Linked DNA regions of Arabidopsis thaliana. The protein of the gene in region 1 interacts with the protein of each later gene in a pairwise test. Each region holds a gene or a part of one and is shown on either strand. Other genes may lie near its edges.

Evidence for each region.
Region 2: the proteins of AT2G46735 (region 1) and AT2G22760 interact in a two-hybrid assay, tested with the Arabidopsis thaliana proteins (one large-scale study listed by BioGRID).

The regions. Positions count from the first base shown.
Region 1 is NC_003071.7:19,202,271-19,205,636, reverse strand, and holds AT2G46735 (death domain associated protein), read right to left. Parts: upstream 1,453-3,366; 5' UTR 1,163-1,452; coding exon 680-1,162; 3' UTR 501-679; downstream 1-500. Other genes in the region: GulLO5 (D-arabinono-1,4-lactone oxidase family protein), read left to right, coding at 1-455.
Region 2 is NC_003071.7:9,675,726-9,680,012, forward strand, and holds AT2G22760 (basic helix-loop-helix (bHLH) DNA-binding superfamily protein), read left to right. Parts: upstream 1-2,118; 5' UTR 2,119-2,286; coding exon 2,287-2,727; intron 2,728-2,865; coding exon 2,866-3,243; coding exon of another isoform or gene 3,244-3,279; exon of another isoform or gene 3,280-3,371; coding exon 3,372-3,440; 3' UTR 3,441-3,777; downstream 3,778-4,287.

The DNA.
Region 1 (3,366 bases):
GTTATGTCACATCCTCTCCGGCTTATCTTGGAAAAGAAACGGAAGCCATAGACTTTGATATAACATATTACCGAGCCAATGATCCGTTAACACCGCGACTCTATGAAGATTTTATCGAAGAAATCGAGCAAATTGCGTTGCTCAAGTATAATGCATTACCACATTGGGGTAAGAATAGAAACTTAGCGTTTGATGGAGTGATTAAAAAGTACAAGAATGCTCCAGCATTCTTGAAAGTAAAAGAGAGTTATGATCCGAATGGTTTATTCTCGAGCGAATGGACGGATCAGATCCTAGGGATCAAAGGAAACCCGACGATAGTAAAAGATGGATGTGCATTGGAGGGTTTGTGTATATGTTCAGATGATGCTCATTGTGCTCCGTCCAAAGGCTATTTGTGTCGACCAGGAAAAGTTTACAAAGAGGCTAGAGTCTGTACACATGTACCTAAGTAACGTTATTATTGCTCAATAATTATCTACATGCTAGTGTGTTGGTCTCTTACTAATGACAATAATCATTTACATGCTCGTCCGATATTTTCATAAATTTTACAGAGTACTCGTTAACACAATAACGATATTGGAAAATTTACATGTACAAATTAAAATTGGAAAATTTACAGAAAAATACTTTGTGGATTTAATATATGTGATGTGGCAAAGGAAAAAGGTCAAAGTCAAAGTTCCGTGTTTTGAAACTCTTTGAGAAGCTTCTCGAATTCCTCTAATCTGTGACCCCAATCACTCTTGATCCTTAACGGCGTCACGTTACTGTAATCAACACCGTTATCTCCAGTGGGCTCGCCCGCAGAGGATGATAGCTCCACACCGCTGAGCCGATTCTTCGTCTTCTTTTTACCGGCGTTTGTTCTCTTCCTCTGAGCCGTCGCTCTCTGAATCGCCCAGAGCACGTCTGATCCGCTAATCTCTGTCTCCTTCGGGATTGGTTTTCTTGGGTTCGAATCGACGGTGCGGAGGAGGATTTGTTGGCCTAATCCGCCGACGGATTCGGAAGTTTGTGATTTCGTCGGAACGTTAATGAATCGACGGTGGATTCCGTCGTAATTATGTGGTGGTGGCTGTGAATAGGCGACGGAAGTTGCTACGGTGGGTCTCATATGAAATTGAACCGGCATCGCCGCCGGTTTCACGGTCCACATAGTAACTCCGATTTGCTTGTGCGAATTTATCTCTCTCACTTTTTTCCGCGGTTGTGGTGAATCCAGCCCCACATATACTAGTCAGTGACATATTGGGCTTTTTGTATTAGCCCCATAAAATCTATCGGCCTTAAATAAAAGAAAATTCAGTTTTGTGCTCTGCTTTTTTGTGTTCGGTTTCTTTACTTGCTCTGTTTCGGGTGGTCTGTTTTATTTTCTATGTTCCTTGCTATGTTGTTGAAGTTCAAGATTTTTGAAAAGACCAGTCACAAAATCTTTGTCAGTCATTCATTGAATCATTAAAAAAAAAAAAAAACGTTTTAGCTCTTCTATGAATTGCATTGGTTTGATACTTCTGAAAGGAGAAGTAAATAAATATAAACATAGGAAGGGAGGAGCAACATCTCAACTATTTTTATTTTATAAGCCAATCAGAGCGTTCCATGTCATACCCCACTCTCACCTCTCGGGCGATTTCACACCCACTCTCACCAATCGCGTGATGAGCGCGTGTATACGTTTTCTGTGGGTTCTAACCCACCAAATGGCTTGTTTTGAAACACACTCGCTCCTTTCAAAAAAAGCCTCGAGTGCGTGATTTCAGTGTTTTTCTCCTTTAATTCCAATTCAAACCCAACCGAAATCAATTGAATTTTTCAAAACCATGTAAACCGAACCGAAATTAAAAACACAAACGACAAACTAGCAATTGTCGCTTCCACTATTGATCCAACTCCGACGAACCAGATTGATAATTTTGATTTGATTCCACACAGATAACATATAGTCCAAACCAAATGCAATTCATAAGAGAGCCAAATTATTACTCTATGTTCGAAGCTTTTTTAACTTGCCACAAATCAATTCACAAATGAATTTTGATTTCTCATGGAAGAAGAGAGAATGAGTGGTGATGTTAGGAGATTCAGGTGTTTATTTATAAGCATTAGGGTTTCTTAAAAAAAACAAAAAAAGGAAACTTTCGATTGTTTCCTTTTTTCTTCAACGCTTAGCTTCCTTTTCTTATTATGGTTGACCAAAATATAAGAAAATCTGTTTACTTTCAACTGTGAGATATCGGACGGTGATGATCTAATCCAAACGTTAAGTTTGTTAGATTATGTGGGACCGGGACGATCTATCTTATTATACACGTCTCTTTTACAAACAAAAGAAGAGATGAAGATGATGGTTCTGAACCAAACTGTTTATAAATGGAGATGATGATGTTAAATGGAACAAAAGCAGAAGTGATTGATGGTCTAACAGACATTGACATTAGGCTACCAATGCTAGTCTTTCTGTGGGAGATAGAGATAGAAGCGGCCTGGTTATGAGAATGCTGGATTTAATCAGCATTTTGGAGATGAATGATGAGTATCAGACACTTGTCAAGAAGAAGAGCTAACTTACAAGGTTCGATGTCATAAGTTTTAGTTGTCAAGAAGAAGAGCTTATCTGCATTTTACCATTCTTTCAGGTCGAAGATGTCCATCCCGTAAGCCCATCCGCAGGCTTTTGGATCAAAGTTGTCTAAAATGTGTTGATCACTGAAGTTTTAGTAAGTGTCCAAGCGATGGAAAGTGACACCGCAGGTCTCTACTGCACCATTCACTTTCCCTTTAAGATCTATGGACCACAGGGAAGTATCATGGCTAGAACTCATTCTTCCATATCTGTCCTCTGGTTTAAGACTCATCTCCCTTTTGACACCGTATCGATCCACAAGCGTTATCTTCCTCACTTTCTCGACACCATCCGCCATCAGAATTGTCCCCGGTAGTAGGCTGCCCATAAAGAACTCGAAAACATTACAAACTCCGACAACAATGTTGAAACATTGATGAACACTTACTTACCAGTTTATACTTGTTGAGATTGTATGGTGTGAGAGTTAGTGTCAAGAATCTGTTTTGGCTCGTTTTAGAAGAAGAACACAGCTGGAGAACAGGTGTTGCATCGGTTCATACCGAATCTCATAGCAGCTTGGTCCAAAAGAAGTGACAATGAACAACAAATCTCCATCATGTCTGAAAACAACTACGTCGCCGACTCGGCTGGTGGGGAGCTTTAGCCAGCCTTGGATGAGTCTTCGTCCCTCCATCTTCACTTCCCAGATTATATCAGAAGCGTTTGATCTCAGTTTCACCACCACATTGCTCTCATTTGTTGTTCCATCTATGTGCCTGAGAAGAAATCCATGG
Region 2 (4,287 bases), 9.5 Mb from region 1:
ACAATTTTCATACCTAAAATCTATTTTTTTTGTATATAAAATAGAATAATATAAATGGTTAGTTCCCAACTATTAGAATTATGGACGAAGGAAAAAGACAAAATTGGAAGGCCCCTTAACAGTGAGTTTGATTAGGACGACAATAATAAAATGAAAATGATTGGTCCTATCCAAACTCATTGACGAAATAGTGTGTTAATGTAATAATATGATATATAAAAAAGAAAAAGGAAAAGAGAGTGTGTGAGTAAAAGATTGGTCGTCAGCTGGATTTATGATATTTCGGCGGCATATCCCGTCCCCACCGCACCACCAACCGGAAGGACCATGGCATGGATACACATTTGTCTCACTTTATATCATAAATAAAAAAATATTATATGTTATCCAGATTTCGTATCCAAAATTTTCTAACAAAATCTCCATTTTATAATTCTACTGACCTTTTTAAAAGGCACTGTTGTGACTTCATTTCAAGAGATACGTACCAAATCTTTATTATCAAATATATCGTGACGATAGACATGTACACACATATAATTGTAGTACGCATTACTACGGAAAGAATATTCCAAGAGCTTACCAATTCCATGCCGCATACATTGGCGTTTATCCTAAGTTAGACTTAGGATTCCTAACGTTCCGAATTTGCGTTGGAGAGCAAGTTCCTGATCTGCTTACGGAAAAATATATTCAAACTCAAATTGCGAATGCCGAGACCATTTCAATTTTTGGGTTTTTGTCGAAGGGATGATGAGCAAATTAAAGCTAGTCCACCTTTTTAATAAAATTGCTTGTGAAGAAGAAACAATTAGGTCCAATATTACTAGAGACAAAGGCAATTTATAATTTTAATATTTTTGGTACTGTTTAAAAAAAACTATCAGTACCAATTGAACAATTTCTAATTTTGATATTTATAATTTAGTTAAAAATATGTTTGTCATATTAATTCTTTTTTTGCTCATATTAATTCATTATCCAGTTTTTTAGTCATTACATTTTTATTTTTTTTTTGTTTAGTCATTACATTGAATTAGTCGAATCAGTACATAATCGTTTCATCAGAGAACTAGTGAATTAAACCGACCCAGACTAATTGGAAGCCTTAATTTTGGATCTTATATTGTAGGCATATTAACTTTTTAATTTTCTTACATAAATCCTTCATATGAAATGTTTGTTTTTAAATGGCCATGGCCCAGAACCATTGCATTTTTGGGCTGGATAGTGGATGTATATGTGAATTCGTCATCATACCAACCTGGTCTGGCCTCTTATTAGTGCAGTTAAGACTAAATAACCCGTTTGGTAGGGAGTAGGGACATTTATTATGTCTGGGGTCGTTATCGCCTTATCGGAATCAAATTGAGTTTAAAGACAAAACAGTATGATCGATTAATTATCAAACACAACTTGTTTATAAATGTATAGATGTCGACATCCACATGGTATCATAACTTCTTCTGCAACATATCCCTCGATATCATATCCACCATTAATCTAATTTATTGCAGTATAACGAGTCGAGATATGTTCATGAATTTTCAAACTCATTAAAAAATTGTTGTAATTTTTTGTTTCGTAAGTAAATTTTGTTTTTTTTCTCTTTCAATTTAACAATGTAATTTTCTGGATGAAAAATTTGCAAACGGTATAAAACTTAACATTTCATATGATTTTTTTTTGGATAAAATTACAATTAAAATAATAAATAAAAGATAATAAAGTATAACTTTTGTATATTTTCCTTTATAAAAAGTAATGAGGTTGTTAGATGGACGGGAAGACGGGGACGAGGCTTTACAGAGTTTTTCTATATCCTTGTTGTTTCCGAGTGGGAATAAGCTCAACACCAAAAACACGTGCTTATTTTATTTACACGTCTCTCTTCTCTTACTTTTTTTTTTTGGGTCCATAACACGTAGTTTTTTTTTTTTCAAATTCATAACACGTATATGAATCTCAGACCACTAGAAGCCAACAAATTATACGATCATTATAGACAATAATGAGAAGACTTCTAGTTTCGATCATAATATGTTTAGTTTATACATATACGTCACGTTTTATGCATTATATACACAATCTGGTCAACATAATTATGGAGTGGAGAAAATAATTTAAGCCGCGTCTCGTTGTCGAATATATAGTAAGAATACCTGAAAACACTTTCTATTCATAAACCCTTTACGACAAAACAATAAAGACGTCTCTCGATTTATCTTTGTCTTAATCAGGAAACTATTTGACATTTCTTTATCGATTATTACTTCATATTCGGGTATGGATGAAGATTTTTTCTTACCCGATTTCTCACTAGTAGACATTGATTTCGACTTTAATATTTACGAAGAAAATAATTTATCACCTGATGAATCTTTATCAAATTCACGAAGAGCTGATCAATCGTCAAAGTTTGATCATCAAATGCATTTTGAGTGCCTCAGAGAGAAGCCAAAGGCAGCGGTGAAGCCTATGATGAAGATCAACAACAAGCAACAACTGATTTCTTTTGATTTCTCTAGTAATGTTATTTCTTCTCCAGCCGCGGAGGAGATCATTATGGATAAATTGGTTGGTCGTGGAACCAAAAGAAAAACATGTTCTCATGGCACAAGATCTCCGGTTCTTGCGAAAGAACATGTTTTAGCCGAGAGAAAGCGCCGTGAGAAGCTTTCTGAAAAATTCATTGCTCTTTCAGCTCTCCTTCCCGGGCTTAAGAAGGTATTGCAAATTTAAATTGTAAATTATCGATAAATTTGTTATATATTTAACTATAGATATTTTCATAGTGAAGAAAAAATAATAATTCATCAGTGTCAATTGGTTTTGAGAATACAAAACTATCTTGTGGTTTTTTAGGCGGACAAGGTAACGATTCTTGATGACGCGATCTCGCGTATGAAACAACTCCAAGAACAACTAAGAACGCTCAAGGAAGAAAAAGAAGCAACGAGACAAATGGAATCCATGATTCTTGTAAAGAAATCTAAAGTGTTTTTCGACGAGGAACCTAACCTATCATGTTCTCCTTCAGTTCATATTGAATTCGATCAAGCATTACCAGAAATCGAAGCGAAAATTTCTCAAAATGACATTCTCATCCGAATCCTTTGCGAGAAAAGCAAAGGGTGCATGATCAACATACTAAACACAATTGAAAACTTTCAATTGCGCATTGAAAATAGCATCGTATTGCCATTCGGAGACTCGACTCTCGACATCACAGTCCTTGCACAGGTGATCATTAATAACTATATATATATGCAATACTAAAATGGATAACTCGTAGTTCATCCAATATAATATTGATGTATTAATGAAACTGATAATCTACAATTATGCTTTCTTAACTTTTTGTGTGGCAGATGGATAAAGATTTTTCGATGAGTATACTTAAGGATCTTGTACGGAACCTGAGACTCGCAATGGTTTAGGTCTTCTTTCAAGTTTTAGTAACCTGAGACTGTACATTGACACAATCGTTTCGTGGATTTGCTATCGTTTTCTTCTTGAGATTTTTTCACACGTGCCCACATGTTTGATGTGTTTTTTTAGCAAAGCTATTTCCGATAACGACCGTTGAGAATTAATTTAGATGTAACATTTTTTGTTTGTTAATAATGAATTTAAAATATAACAGAATTGTTTTTTTATTAAGTGGCAGAAATAAATGTGGCCTTATCCGCTGTCCAAAAAAAAAAAACAAATGTGGCCTTATCCTTAGCATGGTCGTAATGCCTTCTGACTTGTTAAAGTATTTTGTAATTATTGACAAACCCTCTTCAATTCTTAATGAAATTCACATTCATGTCAACAAGAAACATATTGTAGAAAGCAAACCTTTTAACCAATCAAAAAAAAAAAAAAAAAGGAAAAGAAGATTGCTTGACATTAAAAAGATATTGTAGAAAGCAAAATTACATCGAAGGTCAATGTTACAAAATTCTGAAATATTTACGAAAAAATAGTAGGGCATGAAAATGGATTAAAAGAATTAACTTAATTATCTATAGTTTTGCCCCAATAAAGATATACAATTATAGTTTTCGTAATTTATTTTGAAAGTTTCAGTAGTTAGCAAATTCAACAACTTAGCTACATTTGCTTTCGACAAAAAAAAAAGCTACATTTGCTCAAAAAAAAATGACGCTAAATTCAACCAAATTTATTACTATTTACCAATAACTATTTAGAAGTCATAGGGCAAGGGCAGTATCGGAGGGACGTGACCAAATAATAATTGCCGCACGACGCGGTACGATTAAAAGCCAATTCAAAACC